5 linked regions of the Danio rerio genome follow. The protein of the gene in region 1 interacts with the protein of each later gene in a biochemical or structural test. Links are inferred from orthologs where the notes say so. Each region holds a gene or a part of one and is shown in the gene's direction. Other genes may lie near its edges.

Region 1 (5,848 bases):
AGATGTCTATGTGTCTGCAAGAGCCTACTAGAGGTCCGCAGTCTGCAAGTTCTTTCACAAGTCTCTCACAAGTCTCACACAAGTCTGCAAATAGTCTGATTTAAGACAAAGATTTCATGTCTAAATTGTGTTCTTAGGAGGAGGGGATTTGGCTTAAACAAAGTATGCAAATTAAGAGTTGTGGTCGGCAGGGTAAACTGCTTTTTCAGGCCTAATCTCATCTTGTTCTGGAGACAGAAACCGCCTGACTATTTGATCGAAAAAAGAAAACAATAGACACCCCATGCTGTGAAACTGACAATTTGCATTACTTTGGCTTAGTCTGTAGTCAGCAAGGGAAAAGTTAAATGACCCTCCTAGCTGGCATGTCAATGAAATAAAATAATTAAAAACCAAAGAATATAACTTTTCAGTTATACGTAGATTATTGTTCATTTGGAATTAGTTGATAGAAATTTATATTTCCACAGGGGTCATAAATTGCCCATTTTATTATTTAATACTTCAAATAAAATGATGTTACTAATTACTCATCCCCATGTTGTTCCAAACCCCTGAGACCTTCATTCATCTTTGGAGTAAATTTTAAGTTATTTTATTAAATCTGAGACTTACCTAATCCTCCACAGACAGCAATGTTCCAGACTTGTTAAAATTGCAGAAAACGATAACTTTTGTGCACAAATAAACCCAAAATAGCAATTTCAAAAGTTTCTTCTCTTCAGTGTCAGTATATTGTGCATGTTCACAAGCACTGTATTTGTACATGCCCCTAGATGCCTGCATGCAACTTTCTCACAGTACAGTACATCTGAGGTATTTATCAACAGAGCGACCAAGCGCCCTATTGATAGTTTTCAGTCACGTAACATGCGCAGAGACTTGGCGGGCATAAAATCAAAGGGCCATAATGGCAGCTACACTAGGATCTCCATAGAAATGCAGCACAATTTGGTCATACTTTCATTTGTTTCAAACTACAAGTAATAATTGGACACAACAAAATAGAGATATGATCACAAAATGTAAATCGTGGGAACTTGCGATACACAAACTGTATCCATGTTCATTTTTAAATCATTTAAAACCATCAGATGATATACACATACACATTACAGTATTCTCACAGCTTGATGACATTCTGATTGAGCATATGATCTGTTTTGAGGATGGTTTTTGATATTTTTCCGAACTTTGAACATCCCTGGACCATTGCTGTCTATGGAGGATGAGGGAGCTCTCTTTGTTAACTAAAACTGAAAAAGGTCTCAGGGGTTTGGAATGACATGGGGATGAGTAATTAATAGTAACATAGTTTTCATTTTTGGGTGAACTAACTCTTAGATTTGAATGATCATACTTTAAATGAGCACTTTTTAGAGTTTTACCATTTTTTTTATTTATTCAGCCGATCTCAGGGTCTAGCATGAGCACCTTTAGCTTAACCTAGCATAGATTCTTGAATCGGATTAGACTATTAGCATCTCTTTCAAAATATTTTTGTCATAATTTTTCTAGTTTCAGCTTGACACTTCTGTAGTACTAACACTGACAGAGGCTGATATGGCTCGGAAACATATTTCCTAACCTGATTTCATGATCATTCCTGGATCAACATCTGTGTTTATCCTAGAACAACATTACAATCAGCCAATCAGATTGAACTATTATTGCCCTCTGATTTTGAGAATAATGTACAGTTATGGTTGGGTTTAGGGGTAGGGAATAGGATTCAATTTTTCAAACAAAAATGATGTTCCAGGATCAACATTCATGTTAATCCAGGATCACATCATACTCTGTAAAAATTTCAATGTGCGTACTACATTGAAATGGTCTTTTAATATTTTCGGCTAGAAAATTGTATGGCACATTTAAAGTTCTATAAATTATTTGTTCGTACTTACAGCTTATATTTAAAGCTCAAATATTCCCTGCAAGGCTCTATTAAAAGATTTTTTTAAACTTTGAAGACAATTCCTTTTGTATTTTAAGGTCAGATTCATTCCAAACACTTAATTGCAAGTACTCCCTTAGCACACCTATACATTTTTATTTTTAACTGATGCAATTGTTATTAATTGATCTTTTCATCATGTTCTCACATCTGTTTGAGATCTTGTGTAATGAACTTTTTGAATGAATAAATGTTGTGCATTTTTTGTGAGATTCAATTAAAAAAGATTTGGTCACTTTAGATCTTTTTGAAAATCCAGCATTGAATGTCTGATGTTTGGGAAAAAATCTGCAGCAAAATGAAGTAAATGAACAAAGGACAAATTCTCACTTTTGTTAAATAATTTATTATTATTATTATTATTATAAATGTTTTTTTTAATCATTATTTGCTTTTTTATTTCCGTGGCTCTGCCGGTTGAAGCAAGTTCATAAAATTTTATTGCCAATCTTTCCACAACCATCGCAGAGTCCCAGGGATTGAATAGAAGCTGGCTTAGATGCCCTCCTGATCCAGTCTAGAAATTAATTTAAAAATAAAGTCCATTGACACTTTCCTTATATTGGGACTTGAAGGAAAGCAATGCAAAGACAGTATTTTGACACAGTCTGGCTTTACATAGCATCTTTTTGTTTGTCATCTTTATTGTTGATGCGTTTCAACTCAAAAATGGTGGGCAGAGCTTAACAGGCAGTGATGTAGAAGCAGATGTTGATGGAGGTAGAGTTTTGGTTAAACATTTTGTAATAAAGTGGCTAGTTATTCCGCAACCTGTCAACTTAGTAGACTGGCTTCAATGAAAACTGTTTTAGTTTTAAAACTTACAGATTGTTTAGTCCAATGGCATTCTAAATGTGAAAAGATCAAGGGATATTTGATTTCTCAGTTTATGACCCCTTTAAGGACTGAATTGCTGAACGAAAAGGTTTAGCAGGATTGAATGTTTTTGGGTGAACCATTCGTTTGATGGAAGGAATGTCTACTTGTTCGGTCTTGATATATAATATCTTCTATCCTGTGTTGTAGCGTGTCATATCCTGGAGTGCTCTGAAGGCTTGGCTCAGGAGGTCATCAGCACCATAGGTCAGGCTTTCGAGCTCCGCTTTAAACAATACCTAAAAAACCCACCCAAAGTGGTCACCCCCCATGACCGGTAAGAGTCATTTTTGGACAAAAGTGCAAATGTTTACATTAATGTCAGTGTGTTTAGATGAGTGTGTGCACATTGATTAATGACGGTACCTCCCTAGGGTCTTCGGAAACCCCCTTAATATCCTGTATGTGTACGTGTGTGCATACACACCATTTCAAGCTTGTTGAACAGAAGCATTGTTTCTGAACGTCATTCAAGAGTCTTGAATACACAAGCTTGAAAAACTTGTCAGTGTTGATATGATAATTCATTCATTCATTTATTTTCTTTTCGGCTTAGTCCCTTTATTAATGTGGGGTCGCCACAGCACTACCTACTGCGCCACTGCATTGCCAGCATCTCATTCAAAATAATTTTTCAATTTTTTTCTAACTAAAGCTTGACATTACTGTAGTACTAACACTGACAAGAGGCTTATAAGGCTAAAAAATATATTCCCTAACCTGATTTTACCAAGTAGGACATGTTCCTGGATCAACATCTGTGTTTACCCTAGAACAACATTACAATCAGCCAATCAGAATTAAGGAATATATTTCCCGTTTATGTTAAGTTTAGGCTTACAGTTTATTCAACTATTATTACCCTTTTTTAAGAATAATCTACAGTTATGGTTGGGTTTAGGGGTAGTGAATAGGTATGGATTAGATTTTTCGAACAAAAATGATGTTCCAGGATCAACATAGATATTAATCCAGGATCACATCATACTCTGCAAAATCATAATGTGCAAACTACATTGACATGGTGTTTTAATATTTTTGGCTAATTCATTCTTTCATTCATTTTCTTTTCGGCTTAGTCTTTTATTAATCTGGGGTTGCCACAACACTACCTACTGCGCCACTGCGTCGCCCTTGATATGATAATATATTTTGAAATACAAACCTACACTGTTTAACAGTATTAAATCTATTTTAGGATTGTTAATTACAGTGGTACTAAAAATAAAGGTCAAAACAAGATAAATGACCTTCAATTTAAAACAAATTAGTGAAAAGCTAAAAATGAAAATGTACTCCCTATTAACTCTTTTTCAGGTGGTTCCAAGTTTCCTTCTTCTGTTGAACACAAAAGAAGATATTTGAAAGGCAGCTGTTTCCTTTGACATCCATAGTAGGAAAAACAAATACTATGGAAATCAATGGTTACAGGTTTCCAGCATTTTTCAAAATGTCTTTTTTTTGTGTTTAACTGAGGAAAGAAACTCATAAAGGTTTAAAACAAGTAAAGGAAGAGTGAATGCTGACAGAATGTGAATTTTTGTGCACTAGGATGCAATAAGGAAATGTATTTTGTTTAAAGTATTTTTACAAATGTAAAAATACAAGAATTTATAAACTTAGTTTTGGAAGATAATCTGATCCATTTGTTTGCTGTTCCCACTGTCATTTCGCCAAGCGTGTGTTTGTTTCTGCTGGTTTCACAACAAAGAAGTGCATCATTTAAAATCTCTCAAACAGCATGTCCATGTAAACATAATAATATAATATTGTGCTTCTTTATCTGTCTCCGTCTCTTAGCATGGCTCCGTTTGATGGGTCAGCGTGGGAGGAAGAGGAAGAAGATCTGGCTCCTCCGCCAGAGGTGCCATATTACAACAACTTCCCCGGCAAACAGCCTCCTCCTGGTGGTTTAGTGGACATGAGGACCCGTCCCGGACACAGTACAGGACCCACGCTGGTTAGACTCTTGTTTTAGTGATTCATCAAATGGTTTGCTTTAGTGATAAACGCGCACCTTTCATTGTCCTGATTTCTTTCACTGGCATTAACATGTTTGATCATTTTTGTCTTTCTGGTATGAAAATGGTGGTTAATCTGCAATTCTCAAAGGCTTGATTGTGTTTATTTGTTTTAAAAATATCGAATTGATTTTTACACATTTAACCTCTTTGTGGTTCTATTAAAATGTCATCCTCAACGTCTTATGATTGCTTTGCTGGTCCAGTGTGTTCTTATTTGTTGGCCTCCTTTTGCACATTGAAGGAAACGTTTCGCCAGTAACTAACTAACTAACAAACTAGCTAGCTAGCTAATTAACCTAAACTAAAGTGTTACTAAAAAGAAATCACAATCAATGACCTTGTTAAAGGGATTGTTCAACCAAAATTGTACATTCATTCATTAATTTTCTTTTCAGCTTAGTCCCTTTATTATTCTGGGGTCGCCACAGCAGAATGAACAGCCAACTTATCCAGCACATGTTTTAGGCAGCTAATGTTCTTTCAGCTGCAACCCATCTCTGGGAAACATCCATACATACTCATACTCTATGGACAATTTAGCCTATCCAATTCACCTGTACCGCATGTCTTTGGACTGTGGGGGAACATGCAAACTCCACACAGAAACGTCAACTGACCCAGCCGAGGCTCGAACCAGCGACTTTCTTGCTGTGAGGTGACAGCACTACCTACTGCGCCACTGCTTTACTCTTTTTGGTAGGGAAATGTCCTTAAGCTGGGATTCGAACTCGGGACGACCTGACATGCTACAGCACCATATGTCGACACACTAACCACTAGGCTATTCTGCCGTCCTAAAATTGTACATTTTAATAAAATACACAGAGAAAAAAATATTGTTGCAAACTATTTATATGGGTTGAATTTAAACAAACAAATTGAATGTAGTAATGTTTAATTTGATTATTTTATTTGTTTGTTAAAATTCAGACCAAATGAATTGTTTGCAACCACTTACCTTAAAAAAAATTGTATAAGTAAAGTCAATGAA
Region 2 (6,448 bases), on another chromosome or scaffold:
AATTACTTGTACAAGCCTTTTCAAGTTCAATCTCGCAACATCGGTGGAAACATGATTAACTTGTTTTAATGTTAAAGTAGCAATAAAAAAATGTCAGTAACACTTTATAATAACTACACACTATGAACTATTTATTAAGCATTAGAAAATAGTGAATTCATTATCTGTTAAGCATTAACTCTACATTAATAAACGTTAGTAAACAGTTTACTAAAGTTACAAATGCTGTATTTGTAGCTTTTTAAGTCAAATGCTTTACTTAGAACCACATTTATAATGTGCTTAATAATTGTACTTTCATACTTTGTTAATGATTTATTTTTCATTACTTAATTTAGTATTTAATTTTTACAAACCAGTTATTTAAGCATAGTTGCTTGTTTTTTAGGATTATTTAGAATGAGTTAGTAAATGATTTATAAACTGTTCAAATTAACATTTATATATCTTATTATTCAGGCATATAGTAATAATTCATTTGTATGTTAATAAATGCTTTATAACTCAACTTCATCCAGTTTTGTGACCTAATCTAAAGTGAGGACTATTTATGCTTTATAAATTCTTAATAAATGACAATTAAAGGCTCAGTTCTATTCTAAACACAAAAAAAGAAAACAAACGACTTTATTCACTCATATTCATTTGAAGATACACAGGTGAAATTGTATACTTCAATTGAAAAATAAATCTTTGCAACCTTACCTAAAATAAAATTGCTGTATAGTTTAAACATCACATCCTCTTATATTGCTTAATTATTATATTGTTGTTGTTTTAAACAATTTTATGTTGGATTTTGACACTCCTGTCATTTAGCAATGTTTAAACTTTACAGTGATTTTACTTTTTAGATAAGATTGCAAAGATTATTGTTTATTTGAAACTAAGCATTTTATCATCATTTATAAGAGATTTATAAAGCATAAATAGTCCTCACTTTAGACTAGGTCACAAAACTGGATGAAGTTGAGTTAATAAAGCATTTGTTAGCATACATAGTAACCATTAATATATACCTGAACAATATCCTTGATTAATATATACCTTGATTTTAATAGTTTATTAATCATTTACTAACTCATTCTGATCTTAAAAACCATCAACTATTCTTAAATACAATTGGTTTGTAAATAATGCAATACTTCATTAAATATGAAAAATAAATCATTAACAAAGAATGAAAATAATTATTATTAAGCACATTATGAATGTGGTTCTAAGTCAAGAATAGAGCATTTATAGCTGCAGTTATAACCTGCTTACTAACATGTATTAATGTAGAGTAACAGAAAATGAATTCACCATATGTTAATGCTTAATAAATGGTTCATAGTGTGTTGTTATTATTAAGTGTTACCAAAATGTCTTTTTGACTCATTAATGTATTTTAGTGTTAATTATGTGATCTGTGCACCTCCATAAAGTAAAAATTCCATTTTAATCCAAAACCTAAAATCACACGCTTAATGATTGTAGGATAATAATCTAAATCCTTTGCACTGAGTTGAAACTTAGAGCAGTGAGTAGGCACAAAGCTTCAGAGATAACTGAGTGAGGCGTTTAGCATTACAATAACATTCCAAAGATACCAATCCCACAAACGTGAACGTTCTTTACTGAAACTCTTCACTTTTCTATCATTGCCTGCAACCTTGTTCTTTGCTTTTAGATGTTAGTATTATTTTTCTAAAATAATCTTTTTCTGCACTTTAAGCCATACTGTATAAACAAATTCAAGTTTAGTGTAGGCCTATATTTAAATATGTACATCTCCTGGCTATAAATGTAGACTAACGTTAACTGACAACATTGATTTCAAGATATTTGCTTTAAAATGCCATTCGGTTCTTTTGAACAGCTCATTTAAAGATTCGGTTCAAAAACAACATCAGCGAGTCTTTTACGCCATGACGTAATTACGTCATAGTGTATCAAGAGACTTTGATGTTTTTATTTCTTACTTTTTCTCTACGTCTTATAAAGTGTATATCCGCGATGCTGTTTAGTTTTTTTGTGTTTTTATGTGTGAGTGACTGATCTGATTGCTTGTTTGTTAATTCAGGCATTTCTTGCCTAAATGTGATTTTCCTTCACGTTATAAATATATTAGCTACATACAGTAGTTTTACCCTTTTTACCATTTATATTTGTAATATCCTCAGTGAAGAAGCTCATCAATCAAGGATGATCAAAGCCGGCTCGGTTCAGAGACTTTTTTAACCATACTGAAGTGATAAATAGATGTATTGAGTGAAATCGGAATTATATATAATTATAGTCTAATCCATTTTTTTCTTTATTTTTTATCAGTGCGCGTTAATTGTTAAAAGATTATACACAAAATAACACTGCTACTTTGTTTTTCACAGTTTTAATCCAAATGTAAGTAAGATTTATTTGGGACGTAAGAGGTTTATTTACACCTATTCTTTGTAATGCGAGTCACCGTCCCAGTGTTTTCCCTCTGACGGGGCAACACTCCAAGACTACATTTCCCATGATGTAATGTTCTTTATTCTGTGTCTTGACCGACTTCTCCCTGCCTCCATAGGCCAGAGGAGGCTGAGTTTAGGGAAAGTATCGACGTTTATGCTTGTCAATCAGCAAGGAGCCGTGGGGAGTGAAACTGGAGGGAAGGTCGACGATCGGGGAAGATTTCCACTTCCAAAGGCACTTCTGTGCTAATGCGACCATAATGTTTTGGAAAAACAAGGAAAAACTGTACATATTTTCAAGGAAACTGTTTTGTTTTACTTTGAAATAAGGTAATCAAGCAGAGCTTTCACTACGCCGAACTTGGCGAGTATCAGTCGCTGCCTCGTTGCATATCAGCTCGGAAAAAAACGAAAACAGCGTTTTATTTACACGGACAGAGTGTGTAAACTAAAAGGGGACTCAACTACAGACGGATACATGTGTGTTTAAACAAACTGTGCTTGATATATTCCCTTCGGCAGAGGATAGGACTTCATCCAGAAGAGTTTGCGAGAGCCGCGTCGCTGTCGGGAAGCTCTTCCCGTGTGAACGTGCTGGAAACCAGGAGTGACGGTATTCATGTTGTTTCAAACACATGTGCTTAAAACACTTCAAAGCGCAACTTCCAACTCATGTTTAGAAATATGTTTTGATATGTTACAGGCTGAAACACGAAACTTAAAACCCGTGTTTTCCTCAAAGCCTTTAAGAAAATGAGCGGAGGAGATGTGGTTTACTCGGGGTGGCTCCGAAAGTCTCCACCTGAAAAAAAGTTACGGCGTTATGTAAGTAACGTTTTAGTTTTATTCAAATGCACCGACAGTGCAGTAACCGCAGGACTGTTGGGGCAAGATTCATGCAAATTTTCAGTACGCTTTCCAACAGCAACCGCAGGTCAATCACTGCTCGCGATCTGTCGGTTAAAGCTTTATCTTTCTAAAATGCGGACGATCCAAGAATAGTTTCAAAACGGGTTTAGTTCCTCATAAAAATGCGACTGAGTGTGTGTGTGGACGCTGTTTATGTGTTTATTGCACTGGGGTTGTTTTTGTGAAAGCTTTGCTTGTGCAAATCTTTATTTGTGGCGTCTTGATCGGTTCTGTAGACACACCTACCGGTATGGGAACTTTTTGATCAATTAAAGAAGCAGTTCCTTTATTTTTGTTGTTAAGATTTAAACATAAACAAAGAGCACTTTTAAGAAATATCACGAAACATTGGAACTCTGGTGCTATTTTTTTAGATAAGGTTATTTTTTATACACGACGTGGGTCGCCCCTCATGGGTGGCGCCATGTTGGTATCACATGACATAGTTGATCCAGGTACAAATAATAACAAAAGCAGAAATATTTGTTTATATAGTCCTTTAGCTAGTGCCCAGGCCATAACCATTAAGCTACATATACATATTTAAAGCGCAAACGGAACACATGGCTACTTGACAAAGTTTGAATAAATAAATATGCAGCTGCTGCAGATAGACAACTTGTGGTATTCTAGTTAGTACTGGAAAACTAGCTTCCAGTAAATGCACCCATAAGTGGATAAAATCAATACATGGATTTGTGTAGCATGGTAAGCAGAAAAAAAGAAAGACATAACCCAAATCAAACTTCACGCATCCATGCCAAGAGGAGTCAGTACAAGTCCAAGGCCTTTGCTACACCTGTAATCACAAAGAGCCAGCTGTGAAAACCAGTGTGATGCTTATTGTTTGATTTGAATATTGCCATGCATCAAGGTTGCAGAATACAATGCCGGTAAACAGATATATCAAAATAATTTTCAATGTATTCATTAGATTGAGTTGTAATGTTCAGCTCTTTAAATATCAGATCACTACTTGCCCCAATGATGATTGGTTACTTGCTCCCCTATCTTGTGTATTTTTTTTTGTTTTGCAATCATTCTGGTCTGTTGTGAAATTTTCAACATTTTGTTTTTAGACATTTTATTTTTCACCAAATCACACGAAATGCCTTTGTTTGCTGCAACTTTAGTTGCCAAGACAACTGAACACTTAACTCTCCATTCTATCTGCACTGGATGAGTCAATGCATTTAGTCATTCGCACATTGTATGTGTACCATGGGGTCTTCCCTTCCTCTTAGTGGTAATATACACCAATAATCTGTAATGAAATCACTTACTTACAGCTCTGCCTGCTATCGAGCTCCAACCAAACATGTTAGAAATCTCCTCCAGGCTCATGTGATGTTTTTTATTTATTATTGGATTCCTTTAATCTAGTGGAGCTCTTCTTGGAATATTGCTATTGAATTCATGTTTTATCTCATTGTGCAATCAGCAACACGTTTTAGACTCAAACAGCCAAGTATTTTACAAGATTAGAGTATTTGGCTTTTTCAGCCTTTGTGATTTAAGTAGCAGCTATTACATTTGACCTTGTAGTCAATCCAGGAAAATTCAATGGCTTGAGAGTGTGATTTCACATGCTTTGAACTGGCAGAGTAAAACGGTAGTCTGTTGAATGTGATGAACAATATTTCATGGCTCCAAATCTAATTAAAATGATTTCTGAGCTCATCCACACGATGCTATAATAAGATTAGATCGATGCAAGAACAAGTGCTTTGTTGTACAACGGTTTGTTCTCAGAAGTCATTTTTAGATTTCCTCTCGTTGAGAGAGATTTAAACAGCGTTTGTGGACAAAGGCCTTTGTCTTCTTTAGATGTTTTCATTATGCTTTAGAGTTAGATAAGAAACTTCCTTCAATTTATCCCTTCTTTCTTGTTTCAGTAAGCTTACAACCTTGTGTTACTGTAGTTTTGTAGTGCTGTCCTCAACATTGGGCTTCATTCTCAGTCTGTTTTCTAGTGAAGTGGTCTCAGAAGTATTGCATGTAGTGCTTGAAAGTGGCTGATTAGGACCAGACTGTTTTTACTGGAGTCAAGTGGCTAATAACTGAAATGCTTCTTTTCTAGAGGAGCCCCATGCCAGGTGTACAGGCCTATTAGACTTTTGAGCAGTTGTACATTTATCAGCAGATGTTCTAATTAAAGATGCATTTTGTAATGATTGCAGTGAATGAGCATCTGAAACTTCAGATGAAGCTGTAATTTTTTTAGCTTCAGAGTTCAGACAAATTAAATAGATAAGTTCATTCATTCATTCATTCATTCATTCATTCATTCATTTTTCTTTTCGGCTTACCCACTTTATTAGTCAGAAGTTGCCACAGCAGAACCACCAACTTATCCAGCATATGTTTTACGCCCTTTATTAGTGGATGCCCTTTCAGCCACTACCCAACTCTGTGGAAACACACACAGTCATTATATGTATTTATTTATTTTATTAAGTTTTTTAAATCGCACTAACTTACAAATGTTTACGGTTATGACATATTATTTGAACAAATAAACATTACTAATTGTTTTAATTAATACCTTAAAACTTTTTATTCCTCAAATAATCCTGAAAAGTCACAAATGTAGTAACGTTTTTTTTTTAAATAAGTTTTTTTGAGCACAAGATCTACAATATTAGGATGATTTTTGAATGTTTGACATTGAAAATCGCTTCTGTAAACTGAAAAAAGCCAACTTGAGTAATAGATTACATTTTAATGTAAAAATAAAACTTCAAAATAATTTTATTTAATATTAACGATTTTTATTTTAATAAAATATATTTACAATGTTGGTACACACATTACACTTAATATCTTGCCCCCTAAACAGTAGTTGGTGTCATTCACAACATTCTGCATCAACTCTCATTCTGTGTCATCTTGTTAACATGCCTTAGTTAAAAAGAAATCTTCTTTTTAGCTAGCTCATGTGATATCATTCATGGTTGAAACCCTTCAGAAACAGAAGAAAAAGTCCTACAGCTTGCAGACTAAAACAGTATCATCTTTTATTATAGACTAAAAGACAGATTTGCATTTTATCCAACTGAAATGAGCAAACTAAGGCTGCACGATATTGGAAAAATCTAAAA
Region 3 (5,848 bases), on another chromosome or scaffold:
TGACCTCTCAGTTTGTTTCAAAAAATGGTATCGTAAATATTTCACATTGACAACAATCCTCCATTTAGATTTTTCAAAACTGGAAAAATGTATTGTTTATAGTTTCACTATACTTTATTTATTTTTTTACATTTTTTGCAGATCTGTCAAATGACGCTCGAGGTGCTATAAAAATCTTGAATTGTGTGGCTGTCCTTTGTACTAAATCAAAGACCAAGTTCTTCATCGAGTATCACTCAAGCTGCTTGGAGAGTGAGGAGCCATATGCATTTCACTTTCATTTATAAAATAATCACAACACGTCTTATGAAACAACCCTCTTTGTGATTTGTAGAATCACACAAGCTACTTCAAAAAAGGCAGTCCATTTAAATTCTTCCTTTTCATTTTGTAGAGTTTGTGAGGAGTCCTGATGGTGAAAACCAAGAGATGGAGGGCTCAATAAAAGTGCGATTTGCAGGACAAGTTGAGGTAAAAACTGTATTTAATGACACTTCACACAAAACTGAGCATTCTTTCATTATTTACTCACCCTCCAATTGTTCCGAACCTGCTAAACGCAATAGACAATATTTTGAAGAAAACTGGAAACCTGTAACCATTGACTATGGAATCAATGATTACAGGTTTTCATCTTTCTTCAATAATCCTTCTTTTGTGCTCAGCAGAAGAAAGAAACTAAAAAAGGCTTTAAAACCACATGAGAGTGAGTAAATAGTGAGTAAATGCTGGGGTAAGCTAATAGACACCAAAATACTATGAGGTAAAATTCAGCCACCATGTTTACATGGTCTTTGTGAAATGACTTTGCAGCTCACACCCATCATTGCAGATCCAGAATACCTCCTTGATCAGCACATCCTCATCTGCATTAAATCCACGGATTCTGATGAGTCATATGGTAAGTTCATCAAAAATAAGTGAAAGTTAACATTCCTATAATCTAAACTGGCCTATTGCTCACTGACCACATCTGCAAGCAAGTCATTTTCTGATTGAGGCCCATATTCTACTTAAAATGTAGGTAACATTTATTTAAAAAGCATCACCTATTAGGTCTCAAGTCATAGTTTCTCGGTCCAATCCTAAAAAAAACAATGGTATTAATATATTCTCAACAGCTATTAGTTACACCTGTTCTAATTTTTGTTAATGTAAATATCTGAGCACTCACAAGCTCTTCTGCAGTGCTGCATTTAACTCAGAGTTGAGCAGTGGTGGAAAGAGTATTGGAAAACCATACTTAGGTAAACGTACCATTCATACCTGCCAACACTACCGTTTTTCCCGGGAATCTCCCTTATTTCAGACCCATCTCCCAGTTTGTTCTGTCTTCTGGAAAACTCCTAGAATTTCACCCCCTCCAAATGCTAGCAACTTACAGCAAGAAGGTCACTGGTTCGAGCCCCAGCTGGGGCGGTTGTCATTTCTGTGTGGAGTTTGCATGTTCTCCCCGTGTTGGCATGTCTTTTCTCCGGGAGCTCCGGTTTCCCCCACAGTTCAAAGACATGCAGTTTGGTGAATTGAATAAGCTAAATCGGCTGTAGTGTATGTGTATGAATCCAAGAGTGTATTGGTGTTTCCAGAGGTGGGACAAAGTCGTTGTTTGGCAAGTCACAAGTAAATTTTAATTCATTGCCCTCAAGTCCAAAGTCAAAGGCCAACAAGTCTCAAGTCAAGTCCAAAGTCCTACGGTTTGACATTCGAGTTTTTTCGAGTCTTTTTTGGGTTGTGGCTGGAAAGGGCATCTGCTAGGTAAAACATATGCTTGATAAGTTGATGGTTCATTCCGCTGTGGCAACCCCAGATTAATAAAGAGACTAAGCCAAAAAGAAAATGAATGAATGAATTAATGAATTAATTAATAATTAATTAGTATTGGACTGTTTTTATGTATGTAAACACAATAATTTTGTTCTCTGTCTCTAGGTGAAGGCTGTGTGGCGCTTCGCTCTGCTGAAAGCTCTTACACTGAATTCAGCATCACACTCACACACCATGGTGAACGCACAGGCTGGCTAACAGGAGCCATTCAACTGCCCAAATCTGAAGGAAAACAGACAGAGAAACTGTATGGTGAGTGCACGCTTTGTACAGCAATGTCTGTTACATGCCAAATGAAATCCTGTTTCTGCCCTCATATCAATTTAAATAATGATTAATTTCTTGCATTGGATAATTTAATTGCTTAATTAAATTTGAGTTTGTTTCTGAAAAACATTTTTCCTCAGAATTATGGTTGAATATACTGTACAACTGTTAGAATAACAAGTTCTGAGAAGAAAGGTCTGAGGTATAAAAGAGTAATAAAGAATGTTTGGATTAGAAGATTAAGTATGGTGTTACCTTTATTCTTTTTATTCTGAGGTGGAAATGAGCTTCCGTAGTTACAACTAGAAGAAAGCTGTAATATGTGTTTTGTCTCAGAGTATTGAGGCCATGTCCCTTTTCTTAAAATAATCTGGCTTTTTTCTGTTTTAGATTTCATTAAAGTCGGAGATGATCCAGGAGCTGGAAAAGGCAAAACAGGAGATAATACGAAAATGTAAAATATTTCAATACTCCTTTACAATTTACATGTGTTATTTTATGACATGGTAATATCTAAAAGTATTATGTTACTTATGTATGCCTTTTTAAATCAAAGTTTCCATATTTAAAAAAAGGAAACAAAACAAAAGTAAAATGAATTATAAATATAAAATAAAAAATAATAACATAGAAAAACATATTTATATTAATAAAATAATAATAAAAAATATATAGTAGCTTTCATTCATTCTCTTGTTGGCTTAGTTCCTTTATTAATTCGGGGTTGCCACAGCAGAATGAACCGCCAACATATCCAGCAAGTTTTTTTACGCAGCGGATGCCCTTCCAGCCGCAACCCATCTCTGAGAAACATCCACACACACACACTACAGACAATTTAGCCTACCCAATTCACTTGTACAGCATGTCTTTGGACTGTGGGGGAAACCGGAGCACCCAGAGGAAACCAACGCGAAGGCAGGGAGAATATGCAAACTCCACACAGAAACGCCAACTGAGCTGAGGTTCGACCCAGCGACCTTCTTGCTGTGAGGCGACAGCACTACCTACTGCGCCACTGCCTCACCCTTCTATAGTAGCTTTCATTATAAACATTTACTGTAAATGTCAAACAAAATTTTAATAAATAATGATGTAAACTAGAAAGGCAAACTTCGTAGGCAAATTTTTTGCCGGCAGCTAGCTCTCTGCAACTTTCACATGGTCGCCTACTGAAGCTAAGCAGGGCTGCGCCTGGTTAGTACCTGGATGGGAGACCACATGGGAAAGCTAGGTTGCTGCCGGAAGAGGTGTTAGTGAGGCCAGCAGGGGGCGCCCAAACTGCGGTTTGTGTGGGTCCTAATGCTCCAGTATAGTGACAAGGACTCTATACTGTTCATTGAGCACCGTCATTAGGATGAGACGTTAAACTGAGGTCCTGATTCTCTTTGGTCATTAAAAATCCCAGGATGTCCTTCGAAAAAGAGTAGGGGTTAAACCCCAGCACCCTGGCCAAATCTGCCCACTGGCCTCTGTCCATCATGGCCTCCTAACCCTCCCCATATCATCATTGGCTTCATCACTCCGTCTCCTCTCCACCAATCAGCTGGTGTGTGGTATGCGGTCTGGCACAATATGGCTGCCATTGCATCATCCAGGTGGATGCTGCCCACTGGTGGTGGATGAGGAGATTCCCTCTATGTGCAAAGCGCTTCGAATGCCGAGAAAAGCGCTATATAAATGTAAGGAATTTCTATTATTATTTATAGTGGCTTGAGAAAGCCTAGTCTGACAGTTTGAAGTAGTTTAAAAGTTTAAATCATTGAAGTAGTTTTTAAGTTGTTATAAAAAGTTGGCATAGATAGATAACTACATATATGTTTGCATGTTTCAAGTGTGAATTGGCATGTTTCTTGCTAGGCGGTTGATAGGGTGTTCTGAGTGGCTGCTAAGGCACTGCTAGGGTGTTCTAAGTGGTTGCTAGGCGGTTCCCTATATAGCGACTTAATTCAGTATAGTTAGGAGGTTGTAGTATGAACGGTCTAGGAGGAGATATGTTCTTAAAATAGTCGAAGAAGAAGAAGAAGAAGAAGAAGAAGAAGAAGAAGAAGAAGAAAAAGAAGAAGAAATCTATGTTGTATAACAGTATGTTGGTTTTCTCAAGCCACCATAACAATAAAAAATAAATAAATAAATAAATATATAAATATATATTTATATTAATAAAATAATAATAAAAAATTATAATAGCTTTCATTATAAACATTTCCTATAATTTTTTTTCAAATGTTTTTAATTTATTTTTTATTTAAAGTGAAATTGAAATGTGTGCTATACAAAATCTGATCTGTCTGTTTTATTTTGCTTGAATAGAAATGTGCACACTTTGCATTTGTTTTGGTTGCTTGACATGAATTAATATAAATCACAGCACGTTTGATGATAACCTGATGTTGTTATATTTCCCACTTCCTTTGAGATGCTTTACACAGATTACATTCATGTTTGTACACATAAACCATCTGACCTTCTTTGACAGGTCTTCTTCAGTCCTCGCTTCTGATATCAGTAACCCTAGTTATATGGGTGTAGGCTATAAGAGTGGTATCCAAGCCCCTGGCAGCCTTACTTCCCAAAGAACAGGGCCATCAAAGGACATGACGCATGGCAATATCTCTCCAAAAAAGACAAGTTATGATCATGCTACATCCAGTCCAACGGCAAAGACATCTAACCCTATGTAAGTATCCACCTTATTTTTTACACAAACATGCACAGGTATTTAACTTCGATTACAGAGTTTTTTGCAGTATAAAACATCATGTTATGCAGACCAGCATTTTATATTGTATTATTTTAATTATTGTCATAGTTATAAACACACTAGTTTACCCTGTATTGAACCAATGCATGTAAAGAGTAGGAGTCACAAAAATAGAACATCTCAGAAAACAGCTTACTTCCTTGTTGAACTGTTAAATGAAGTAAAGGCAAAGCTCGAAATTACATTATTATTGTTATAATGATAGAATACTTTAAAGTTAAAAGTATTTTTGATGTTTTCCAGTGTTGGGACATATGCTGAATAGGTTGGTGGTTCATTCCACTGTGGCAACCCCAGATAAATAAAGGGACTAAGCCGAAAAGAAAATGAATGAATAAATTAGTATTTTTGGTATTTTATTGTAGGCATTATTTATGATTATTAATATAATAATAATGTTATTATCATTATCAACATCATTATTATTATTATTATTAGTAGTAGTAGTAGTAGTAGTAGTAGTGGTAGCAGTAGTAGTCGTCGTCGTCGTCATCGTCGGGTAACACTATAATTACACACTATGAACATTTTTTTTTGTTTGTTTGTTTGTCTAGCATGGTTGATCCGTGCTGATGACAGTTCCAGATACAGTGTTTCCAATAGTGAATGTAACCAGTGCTTAACTGAAAGATCATGAGGAGGTTTCTACCTCTGTGCCAACATTTACTTTTTAGCAGTTGAAGCACTAACCAAAAATGTATGGATCTTTGCAATTAAGAGAAATCAAGAGTTATCATTCAATAAAAACAATACAGGATCTTTGGGGAAAGAAATTTTTGTTACTTTAAATAAAATGTCTATCACCGAATCTGCAAAAGTTTTGCACCTCCGGACATTCTCACATCATATGTAAAAAGGTATCTAAACGCTGAGGTTCACAGAACTTACAAAAGGGACGTGGAGATAATAAACCTATGATATGTTGTATACCTGTGTTTAAATATGCCCTGTGAATAATTCACTATGAATAATTTATGATGCATTAACAAATAG
Region 4 (5,848 bases), on another chromosome or scaffold:
CTAATGCTTTTGCACCATGCACTTAAGACTTTGCGCTTAGATCATTAGATTGGCTTTAAGTAAATAGTTTACATCCAAGGAGTTTGGCTGACAAAAAAACTTGGACCTCCTGATATGTTAGCTTTAGCACTGAAACCTTAAGTTAGCTAGAAGATCACTGCACTTTCACTGAGTTTCACCTTGTGTTTTTGTCTATGTCATAAAAAGCAATGTGTCCGATGCAAATGCCATATTATTAAAAATTAATTTAATGGAGAAAAACTAGCTTCTACTGTATGTAATTAACCAATATTGAAATCATTACATGGCATTCTAAGTATGATGGATGTTCTGTCTTTTTTGTTTGTAGGTAAGGTGCTCGGCCATGGAGCTTTCGGGAAGGTGATTGAAGCCTCAATCTTTGGTCATGACAAGAAATCCTCTGCAAACACAGTGGCTGTCAAGATGTTGAAAGGTTCAGTCTTACTCGTAAACTGTGGTGAACACTAAAACCCCATTCCTTCTCACATACGTTTACTGAACTCTTTCATATCACAGAGGGAGCAACAGCCAGCGAGCACAAAGCCCTGATGTCAGAGCTGAAGATCCTCATTCATATTGGAAACCATCTCAATGTTGTCAACCTTCTTGGAGCTTGTACCAAACCTAACGGTATGGATGGAGAATTAGGAAAGGATGTTTTTATTCCCTGTTACCAATTATTGTGATAAATTGGTTTGTCGGCAGCCCTTTTTAAAACTTCTTTTCTATATCTGTTTATCAGGTCCTCTCATGGTTATAGTGGAGTATTGTAAATATGGAAATCTGTCCAACTTCCTGCGTGCCAAGAGGGAGTTTTTTTTACCATACAGGGTGAGAGAGACTGAAATGTTTATTTATGTAACCTGATGTTACACAGACAGTAGGCTGCACCCTCAACACCCACAATCAACTATAACTCAATATGAGATGTGCATGCGTTTGCAGGATCGTTCTCCTAAAACCCAAAGTCAAGTGCGACGGATGATAGAAGCAGGTCAGGCGAGCCAGAGTGAGCATCAGCCGTCCACTTCCTCCACCAACCCTCCACGTGGTAAGAGAAATCAGAAGACCAATGGGAAGAGTATACCTAGCTAGCAAAATTCATGTGACCTAAATCCGGCCCACACCAGACACTTGCATCTGACCCACATACCGCATGGAATGATGGCACTTGGGCGATCCGCTACTGTTTGCCAGATCTGGGCCACAAAAGCCATAGCAATGTCACATATTAGCCAGAATTCAAACAAATGATCCAGAACTGGCGCTATTCTGGGCCACACTTCGCTTTTATTCTAGCCCAGATCCGGCCCACACCAGACACTTACATCCAGACCACATACTGAATGGAATGATGGCTCTAGGGTGGTCCGCTCCTGTTTTCCAGATCTAGGCCACAAATTAGCTATTACTACCCATATTTACCATGTCAAAGAGCTATGGTATGACCCCTATAATTATCAAATGATCAGTGTACTTTATCTTTGCCAAAAGTGACCCATTATACGTTTTAGGATAACAGTACCATACTTGCCACATATTACCTCATTTGCTTTGAGCTCTCACCATCTTTAGCCAGAGATACTCACCCATATTTGCCATATCTCATCTGGACCAATATAGGCTCACAACTACATTAGCTAGACTGTGCCAAATATTTGCCAAAAGTGGTCCACACATGTCTTAGGATTAATTGGGCCACATTTGCAATCACATTCTTGCATATCTTCTCTCGGCCACTTTAGGGTCACAGCGACATTTGCCAAAGCTTACTGTTTTGAATATTTGCCAAAAGTGGCCCACATATGTGGTAGGATAACTGGGCCAAATTTTCCATATCTTCCCTGGGCCACTACAGGGTAACACCCACATTAGCCAGAGTATACTGTGCTGAATATTTGTGCAAAGTGGCCTACATATGTCTTTAGATGACTGGGCCACATTTGCACCTACATATGCAAGCCACTTCGAGTTTAGACGCAGACTAACCTTAAATGACTACAGTATGCCACATTTTTGCCAACTGTGGCCCACATGTATCCTCTGTCATTTGGGCCAAATTTTCCACATGGGTCACATTAGGCTCACATTCAGATTACATTTTGCCAAAAGTGACAAATTTTTTCCTTAAATGGCCCATATATGAATTGGAATCTTTGCCCCCCTTTTGTCATTGTACAGGTGGGCCATTTCAGGCTCAGATTCTATTTGTCTGGGCCGAATGGAGACCACTATTGTATAACTGGTGTAAAGTGGGCCACGTTTGTTTGCTATCTGGGTATAAACTATTAAGGGGACAGTTCACCCAAAAATGACCACCTTAGTGGTTTTAAACTTTATGAATTTATTTGTTAACAAAATATTGTGAATGAATTTTGGTAGGAAAATGGCTGCTACTTACTTCCCTAAATATTTTCAATAAACTTTACAAGAAAAATGAAGTATACTTGAACTTTATTTATCTAATAAAATGCAGCAGTATCATACATTAAAATAAGATGTTTACCTTGTAGACAATATTGCAAAAAAAAAAAAAAAAGACTTTAAAGTGCACTCATGTGCCATTTTAAAGTAGGAACTTAGCATGGCAGAGAAGAGCATGCCATGGTTTATGCAGTAAACTGTAGGTTTTAAAGTGACAATTCACCCAAAAATAGACATTTTGTCATCATTCTTGTCATTCTTGTCAAGTCAGGTTTGTCATTTCAGCCATGTATAGCACTGACAGTTTGATCTATATTATATACATTATATATTACACAGGGATAATGGCATATATTTGAATTTAAAACATGCTACAGTGCAATAAACCTGGGCCTTATGCTTCCAACAACAACATAAAGTCCTGAAAGAGGTGTGCTTGTAATTCCATAATATTTGAATCGGGGAAAAATAAGGTATTTCTGTTAATGTTATTGTTGTTGTTATTATTATTATTTTTGAAATATGACTGTAAGTGAAGAGTTCACATGCAAAAACTTCTAAGTGCCGTCTGAAATTTCCATCCAAAATGAACATTTTTTTAAAGCCTCCTTTGTTTATGTTGATATACTTTACTTTAAAGACCAGGAAAAGGACTTATTTTTGCCATAAAAGTGATATTACTGAACATACACACAGGAGCTTGATAAAATTTTTAGTTTTTCTCGTTTTAGAGAAAAATACTAGATGGAATTTAGAGGTTTTTGCATTTAAACTTTGGAAAAGAATGCAGAATCAATCATGCTGATAAAAAACACCAGAGATTATGAAAGCTTTTCTGGTTGAGACTGGGATGAATAAAAAAAAAAACAGAACATCATAAAGACTTTTCGGTTCTTTAGATTTGACACAGTCTTTCTGACAAATTTCTGATTTAAAGGTCCCAAGAAGTTCTTGGAAAAGTGCATTTTTATTTGACTGAAACCGGAATAGAGGTTGGGACATAAAGTAGCTACTCCCCTAAGAAACAGCCAATAGCGTTTTGTTCTTTCACAGCTCTGCCAGTGGAAGCGGTTGAGTTCAATCGTATCAAATGAAAAGCAAATGAGAAGCATCTTGAAAAGGGCAGGACATGTCAGATACTAGAGAGCATTTGACTGATCAAGTATGTGGCAATAGGCCACATGTGTCAAACTTAGTTCCTGGAGGGCCGCAGCTCTGCACAGTTTAGTTCCAACCCTAATTAAGCACACCAGATCATTCTAATTGAGTGATTAAGTCTTGTTTGATTCCTACAGATAGGTGTGTTGAAGCAAGGCTGGAACTAAAGTCTGCAGGGCTGCGGCACTCCAGGAATTTAGTTTGTCACCCCTGATTTAGGCAGATGTGACAAACACACAAGCTTTTGATATTTACAGTTGAACCCCCATTTAAAAATTTTCTTCTTTTTTAAAATATTTCGCCAATGATATTTAACAGAGCAAGGAAATTTTCAAAGTATGTCTGATAATATTTTTTCTTCTTGAGAAAGTCTTATTTGTTTTATTTTGGCTAGAATAAAAGTACTTTTTAATTTTTAAAATTATTAGCCCCTTTATCTATAGTCTACAGAACAAACCATCATTATACAATAACTTGCCTAATTACCATAATTTGCCTAGCTAACCTAGTTATCCTAAATAACCTAGTTTAGCCTTTAATTGTCACTTTAAGCTGTATAGAAATGTCTTGAAAAATATCTAGTGAAATATTATTAACTGTCATCATGGCAAAAATAAAAAAAATCAGTTATTAGAATTTAGTTATTAAAAGTATTATGTTTAGAAATCTGTTGAAAAAGTCTCTCTATTAAACAGAAATTGAGAAAAAAAATAAACAAGGGGGCTAATATTTCAGGGGGGCTAATAATTCTGACTTCAACTGTATATGTTTTAAATGCAAATTTCTGTCACGATTTTGTACCACAACTCATATTTATCCTTAAGATTAGCATACCAACATCTAAAAAACTTTATTTTAATTTCACTGGACCATTAAATGTGCACTTGAATGTGTACTAAAGTTAATAGCAACTATAATGCATTAATAATTTCTCCTTCACCAGTTACAGTGGATGATCTCTGGAAAACTCCACTCACAATAGAGGATCTGATATGCTACAGTTTTCAAGTTGCACGAGGAATGGAGTTTCTGGCATCTCGTAAGGTAATTTTCAAACATTTATTTAATCTTAACCTCTGTGATGAATCCTTTATTCAGTTTGTATGTTATTGCTGAACTTTAGATGTTTTAACACTTTATTGCCATCGTAAATGTCTAGTTTACCTTTTGTCTGTAGGTTATCATTTAAAACCTCCTCAAAATTTGTTTGAATTTATTCAAAGAAAGTGGTCAAAAAATTCTTATAGTGAAATTGATTATAAAAAAGAAGGTCATGATGATAAAAAAGGGTTTTGTAAAGCTGGAAGCAAATTGTTACAAATGGCAACAAATAGCCCAGTGTTGCCAGCGTTTTACAACCTTGCACCTTTCACCTCACAAAAGTGTCCTCAGTTACATCTTCCTACAACAGTTTTTATCATTGGTAGAATACACGTTGGTAGAGTAAATTATTTCAACACAGTCATATAAACATAATGATGCAATGTATCAAACCTTTAACCCTTGGAATAAAAAACAACACTTTAACAGCACTGAAATACCCAGATCACACACGTAATTATATATATAATACAAATATAATAACATTTCAGCAAAATTTTGTAATATTTTTGTTATGTATTAATTTTACCTGTTTATTAAAAGTTAATTTCATATTTTCCCTAGACATACTAATTTGGATGTACAAATTTTTGGACTGTGATTTTTTAATATATAATATAATTTATAATATAATATAATTTAAAATATAATATTTTACTGTAAAGCATCCTGTTAAAATAAAAAATTTAAAAGAGAGATCTGTGCAGGGTGTACTCATTTATGCTGAGCACTGTATATACGCTGTATACTATATATATAGTGTACATACACTGCTCAGCATAATTGAGTATACCCCATTTTGAAAAAGAATAGTTTTATGCATTTCTCAGTGAATATAGGCAATGTATGTTGATGCATTTAAACAAAAAAAAATTATTTAACAGATATATTCATTTAAATAATATTTTAGTCAGCAAACATATTTAGAAATTGAAAGATTCAAGATACAATTAAATTCAAGCAGAATATTGCAAGAATAATTTACAACCTACAAAATTTCAGCTCATTTATTTTATTATTATTTTTTTTTTTGCTTTTCTTGATTTTTCCTGTTTTTTAATTTGTATTTAATATTTAAAAAAAGATATAAATTTGGGTGTACTGGTTTTTGGACCATTTTTGTTAGTTATTTTGTTAGATAAGC
Region 5 (5,848 bases), about 21 Mb from region 1:
GTTAGCACCTGTCAGCTGTAATTGTGGGAAAAACTGGATCATTTTGAGCTTTGTCAAATAATTTCAGCTTTCAGGTTTAAAATTATTTTTGGGGCGGATAAAAATCGGCGACGTAATGCAAAACTGCAAGTGCAAAGATGACGCGTCACTTTCTCATTATTATTCATATTCATAGCTGAGTTTTCTTATCCTATGAGGAGAGCCGGCTTCTTAATTATTTATGACTGCATGTGCTTTCCGAAGGCAAAGCAGACCTGCCAGTGCCAAGCTGTGAGACACAGACCCACGGCACACAGTATTTAGCGGTTAATAAAGGGTCGTATGTGCTTGTTTCCATGATCCACAGGGTTTGTTGCATGTTTTTCCCTGCAATGCTGTCAGGGCCGCCGATACAGCAAAGCTGTTTGTATGCAGCAAGCATTTTTGTCGGGAGAGCAGTACGAGAATTGGAGAATGGTGGACGTTGTCTTTTATCAGGAGTTTGTTCACATTTAGACACAGCGCTGTGCTGCTGTGTTTGCCTAAATGCTCCAGATTACCAACAGGGCTAATGGTTAAAATAGACAGGGCAAGAGACCTGCTGCACTGAGTCTGCATTCAGACCTGGAGATTGAGGAAGAATCCTCATTTATAGTGTTTATGTGAACACGATTATCTTCATAATGATATAAATTGTGGTTGTCTGTATATGAAATTACAAATAACAAATGTAGCGGGGGGATTAAATTACTGTATATTTCTTTGCATTTTACCTTATAAACTCCTCATGGTTTGTGTCTCATTTTGTGAGCCAACTGACAACAGTTGTTCACTCCCCTCCTTCTCCCCTGCTGGCCACGCCCACTCCTTCCCTTTGCTCATGGAGCTCCACCCCCATTATGATGCATCTTTTGAAAAAAAAAAAATCTGATGTAGAGCTGAACCGAAAGTGGGGGGCGTCATGACCCTTTAACATAGAAGTTCTACCAGAAAGAAGCAGATAAATGTTTTGATATTTATCGTGAATTGATGGATAAATGTAAGTTTGTTACTGTCCTTTTATAAAGCCCTTTGGCTTAAGCCTATCTATGTTGTAGAGCTCTGGATGAGCTGGCAGATCCTGCCTAAAGATGAAGGCAGGGTGAAGCCAATCCCTGAGGGGAGACGAGGCCAACCTGGTGGTGGTGGGGAGGATGGAGGGAAGCTTTCGCAACGTCACCTGAGTACAGCAACACAGATTGTTTAGATGGGTTTATATGTACCGCGCTTGGTTGTTATAGGATGACGAGATAACTTTTATAAATGACGTAACATACCAGTCTTCCTGGCAGAACTATTGCTAAAGCTTTAATTTTTAGTAAGTTGAAACAGTGTCAGTCCAGTTTTCAGAGTTGAAGTTCAGTTTAGTTACATGTTTCACTGCTGAAAGTCCAAAGTTTAAAGGGCAAATCCATAAATGTGCAGCCCCAAAAGTCCAAAACCAAGCAAGCCAGAAGTGACAACCACATTCCTGACAGACAATTTTGTGACAGACAAAGGAGACATCCAAAACATGCAGTGCTGGTGGTCCTCCAGGAACGTGGTTGAGAAACACTGATGTAGAGAAAAATTCAACTTGATTGCTGACGTAACTATTGTACATTTTATTCATTTGATTTTTCCAGGGCCAAGTCACAAAAGGTTTATGCGGTCCCACCCGGGCAGCACTTCTACGTGGTTCCACGGGACGCATACGGCTATTTTACTGAGCTGGAGATTTCTGTGACAGCAGCGAATGTCTTTGGAAACACAACCACTGATCCTCTGAAACTCACCCCTTTGAACACAGGTAAACGGGTCATTTAACTGATAAGACTTTAAATGTGAGCTGATGAATATAGGGGTTTTGCTAATATATACACTTACCGGCCACTTTATTAGGTACACCTATGTCTTCAGAACTGCCTTAATCCTTAGTGGCATAGATTCAACAAGGTTCTGGAAATATTACTCAGAGGCTGCGTCCGAAACCGCATACTTCTATACTATGCAATATGTATGCGAGCCGAGTAGTGTGTCTGAATTCATTAAATTCGAAAATCAGTATGCGAGAAGTACCCGGATGACTTATGACTTTCGGCGAGATTCCGGAGTGTGTATTCCATGCACGCTGCGCTATCCCATGATACCCCACGAGGGAACTCATGAATGGGTGTAAAGCGACGCAATTGACGCAGGTAGGTCATGTGACTATGACAAAATGGCGGATGTAGTACGTCCAAACTCCATTCATACTTTTCACATTCTGTAAAGAACGTACTATTCTAACGGCCGAGTAGTACGTTTAAATTCAAATGTAGTACCTACTGAGTAGTACGCGGTTTCGGACGCAGCCTAGAGATTTTGCTCAATGCTGATATGATAGCATCATGTAACGAGTGGTTATTTAAGTACCTGTTGTCTTTCTATCAGATGGAACCAGTTCATTCTCCTCTGACCTCTGGCATCAACAAGGCATTTGCGCCCACAGAACTGCCGTTTTTAAAAATGGCGTTTCCTTTGTTTTTATTATCCTGCTTGTCCACAAGCGAGTGACATGTCTCTGTAAACCAAAAGCAATCAGCTTGGTACCTTTTTTGGTACCACTTCAAAAAGTGTTATGGTACGGTTCTTCTTTAGATACCTTTTGACAGTGGAAACGACCATAAAAGCGTACCGAACCATACCGAATCGTACCACTCAGTGGAAACGGGCTATTACTGCAAATTTAGCAAAAGTGAAATGCACAATATGTCCTCAAGAGGGAGCTAGATCTACGTTACAATTACAATACAATTTAAGGGCTCTATTTTGACGGTCCATGCGCAGAGCGCAAAATGCAGGGCGCAAATGCTTTCAGGCGGTGTCAGGACGCGTTTTTGCTAATTTAAGGACGGGAAATCTGCCTTGCGCCGTGGTTCTAAAAGGGTTGAGTTTATTTTCTTCATAAGTTATAGGTGTGTTTTGAGAATAAACCAATTAGAGTCTCATCTCCCATTCCTTTTAAGAGTCAGCTGCGTCACGCCAAGAGCGCATTCGCTATTTACAGGACGCAAAGTAAGTCTAAGTGGAAAAACTGAGCATTTCACAAACAAACAGTTCACAGTTGACAGTTCTTTAACAGAAAACTGTTAAACAGAACATCTACTGCGTGAGAATGAGGGATAATGGATCTACTTTTACATTCGCTCGTGGATAGGGACACCTTTACGCACAGACATCAATTAGTCTATAAATAAATACTTTTGTTTGTTAAGCGCAAATATTCGTTTCAAAACTATTTCTAAATTCAGTTCTAATTTCCAGCAAACGAATAAATGAATAATAATAGCAAAGTGTGCTCAAAAACCTGAGTTATATCCTAAAACACATGCTGTGCCCCATATGGTCTAAAACATGACAGGTGGGCAAATCTAAGCTTGTTTTTAATAAAACAAATATAAATATGGATATAATAAATAATACTGCTAATAATAATAACATTATACAAAAGCAAATTGTTATGAATGAACTGAAAAAGCCTCCCGAGATGAAGAAGACATAAAAGCAGTGATTTTTCATATTTATGTAGGCTAGAAAATAATATGTTTTTTAATATTTTAATCTTTTATATTTATATTCTATATCTATTCTTATTATATCCTATATATATCCTTAATATTTAATATTTTTCTTATGTAAAGATATTTGCCTATTGCTCTCTTGTGTGTATTAAGCAGTGTGTAAGCGAGGAGTAACTCTGCGCCGGAGTTTAGACCGGGTTTGTTTTGGTCTAATGAAAAATCTATTATAGTTTCTCAAAATAGCAACGCGCCAGCGGTCCGCCTCAGAACGCCTTCCTTTTTAGACCAGAACACCTATGGGCACACAAATGAGCGCTAATGCATTTGCTATTTAAACAGCGTAGCGCAACGCCTCAAAACGACTCTTGCGCCAAGCTGAAACTACCAAAAGACTATTGCGCCGCGTCTTGCGCCACACTGCGCCGGATGTATGATAGGGCCCTAAGTGTGTTGCATTATATTTTAGCCTATTTGATGAGTATTACAGATTCTACACTACACTGTCACTTATACACAATCCTGCATCAGGTAATTAAAAATAAATTAATTAATTAAAAATATTGATCTTCTCTGAATGGAAGAACAAGCCATGAAAGTAGTTATAAAAAGCCCAAAATGTCCATAAAAAAGATGTTGAGTGTTTATTACTGTATTTTATTTCAGTGAAGTTTGATCCTCCAAGTATTACCAGGATTGAAGCTCACAGGTATGGCTGTTTAAAATACAGCTGGAGTCTTTCGGAGACTCAGAAATGGCTGCAGTTGACCTTCATTGTGCAGTTAAGATTGAAAACCGTGAACAACCAGCCAAACAAAGACCTGGTGAGTCAAAGCTAAACACGATGACATCACTTTTCCACAAGGTGAGACTGTCAGTTATCTAAAAAGGTGTCTAAAATGTTTTTATTCTGCTTTAGGTTTATACCTCCAGGCAGTTACAGCTAAATCCGATTGAAGTGTGTAGCCTCCTCCATTGGACAGATTACAGAAGCACAGTGAGAGTGAAATATTATGCAACTAGTGAATGGAGTGAATGGAGTGACCCAAAAACTGCTACAACACTTAATAAGGGTAAGGAATGATTTCAGTATGGCTCCCACATGGGCGATCGTAGATTTAAGCATCTCCAAAATAATTAAAAAAAAAAAAAGTTTAGTTTTTTATCATTTTTAAAGGGCTTGGATTTGACCCCTTTTACAACAAGTAAGATAAGATTTTGGTGTCTCCAGGATAAAGTTTCGGTAAAGTTTCAGCTCAAAATACCCATCAGATTATTTATTAACGCTGCTGAAACACTTTGATTGACATTCTCCCTTTGTACGTGTCTTCAGAGGGGGAAAGCCCCGCCCTCTAGTGACCATCTCTCCCTCATTAGCATAGGACGTTAGTCTTGTTTTTAAATCTGCCACCATGCTGACACAGGGGCATTTGTAGCTCTTTTGAGAGGTGCGCGACGGCCACGCCGAGGACTATGCGTCTTTGATGCAGAAATATTATCAGCCTTTAGCCCTCACGAAGGCTGACACGCACCTCTCAAAAAATGTAAATACACGATGATGCATGGCGACGCATCAGAAGCTCTGTGATTGGTCGCCTTGGTAGCTGTGCTGAGTGTGGGTGGTACTGATGGAGCCCGATGGAGCGAGTGTTTTACAAGTGTCAAGTCACGTGAAGGAGCTCCAGATCGAAACTTTTGTTTTGTGTTTACCTCATGATTAAAGTTGTTGCCCGTCCGCCAGTTCCTGCCTCTGAATGAGCTAGTTTTAGCTACTTATAGCGTTCATAAAAAAAAAATACCAGCAAAGAAACTTGACACAGAGGAACATATAAACCTACTGCCTGCTAGCGTTTTGGAAGTGTTATTGCAGACCAACACAAACAGCACGCAGAAGTCTAGTTGCACGACTACCTGCAAGGCAGGCATCATGGGTCATGCCGATCACTTGACGCAGAATTGTAAACCAGGAGGAGGCTATGGGAGTGAGGCTTATGTGTATGAGTGTGGCCTCCGTTACACACTATACTACAATATGCATTGGCTTTTTTAAAAATAGTTATAAATAATACACTTTAGTATGGTTCAAAAGCTTTATACTATAAATTACTATTGCATTTTAGTTTAATTACAGGTGCGCGGGCAAGTGTAGTGCTTTGAAAGAGTAGAAATGTATGTAATCAACGCCTAATATCTTGCTATTCACTTTACTGACCCACGAGGGTGTTTAAAACTCTAAATCAAAATTCAAAGCAGTCACGTGGTTATAGTTGAAAATGACGCTTCGGACGTCA

Evidence for each region.
Region 2: the proteins of shc1 (region 1) and gab1 form a complex in vitro, tested with the Homo sapiens proteins (2 studies listed by BioGRID and IntAct, with this or other methods). The link is inferred for Danio rerio from reciprocal best matches to the Homo sapiens genes SHC1 and GAB1.
Region 3: the proteins of shc1 (region 1) and inpp5d form a complex in vitro, tested with the Homo sapiens proteins (2 studies listed by BioGRID and IntAct, with this or other methods). The link is inferred for Danio rerio from reciprocal best matches to the Homo sapiens genes SHC1 and INPP5D.
Region 4: the proteins of shc1 (region 1) and flt4 form a complex in vitro, tested with the Homo sapiens proteins (2 studies listed by BioGRID). The link is inferred for Danio rerio from reciprocal best matches to the Homo sapiens genes SHC1 and FLT4.
Region 5: the proteins of shc1 (region 1) and csf3r form a complex in vitro, tested with the Homo sapiens proteins (2 studies listed by BioGRID, with this or other methods). The link is inferred for Danio rerio from reciprocal best matches to the Homo sapiens genes SHC1 and CSF3R.

What each region holds. Positions count from the first base shown.
Region 1 is NC_133191.1:24,104,561-24,110,408, reverse strand, and holds part of shc1 (SHC-transforming protein 1), read left to right. Parts: intron 1-470; exon of another isoform or gene 471-706; intron 707-2,983; coding exon 2,984-3,110; intron 3,111-4,633; coding exon 4,634-4,793; intron 4,794-5,848. UniProt on the Homo sapiens protein: Signaling adapter that couples activated growth factor receptors to signaling pathways. Participates in a signaling cascade initiated by activated KIT and KITLG/SCF.
Region 2 is NC_133176.1:38,638,311-38,644,758, forward strand, and holds the start of gab1 (GRB2-associated-binding protein 1), read left to right. Parts: upstream 1-2,557; 5' UTR 2,558-3,051; intron 3,052-3,141; 5' UTR 3,142-3,191; coding exon 3,192-3,263; intron 3,264-6,448. UniProt on the Homo sapiens protein: Adapter protein that plays a role in intracellular signaling cascades triggered by activated receptor-type kinases. Plays a role in FGFR1 signaling. Probably involved in signaling by the epidermal growth factor receptor (EGFR) and the insulin receptor (INSR).
Region 3 is NC_133181.1:30,679,549-30,685,396, forward strand, and holds part of inpp5d (phosphatidylinositol 3,4,5-trisphosphate 5-phosphatase 1), read left to right. Parts: coding exon 1-27; intron 28-141; coding exon 142-252; intron 253-394; coding exon 395-471; intron 472-813; coding exon 814-901; intron 902-1,929; coding exon 1,930-2,076; intron 2,077-2,481; coding exon 2,482-2,545; intron 2,546-4,570; coding exon 4,571-4,771; intron 4,772-5,848. UniProt on the Homo sapiens protein: Phosphatidylinositol (PtdIns) phosphatase that specifically hydrolyzes the 5-phosphate of phosphatidylinositol-3,4,5-trisphosphate (PtdIns(3,4,5)P3) to produce PtdIns(3,4)P2, thereby negatively regulating the PI3K (phosphoinositide 3-kinase) pathways.
Region 4 is NC_133189.1:18,115,523-18,121,370, reverse strand, and holds part of flt4 (vascular endothelial growth factor receptor 3 precursor), read left to right. Parts: intron 1-349; coding exon 350-454; intron 455-537; coding exon 538-651; intron 652-763; coding exon 764-852; intron 853-966; coding exon 967-1,072; intron 1,073-4,546; coding exon 4,547-4,647; intron 4,648-5,848. UniProt on the Homo sapiens protein: Tyrosine-protein kinase that acts as a cell-surface receptor for VEGFC and VEGFD, and plays an essential role in adult lymphangiogenesis and in the development of the vascular network and the cardiovascular system during embryonic development.
Region 5 is NC_133191.1:3,330,538-3,336,385, reverse strand, and holds part of csf3r (granulocyte colony-stimulating factor receptor), read left to right. Parts: intron 1-1,643; coding exon 1,644-1,807; intron 1,808-4,223; coding exon 4,224-4,381; intron 4,382-4,476; coding exon 4,477-4,630; intron 4,631-5,848. UniProt on the Homo sapiens protein: Receptor for granulocyte colony-stimulating factor (CSF3), essential for granulocytic maturation. Plays a crucial role in the proliferation, differentiation and survival of cells along the neutrophilic lineage.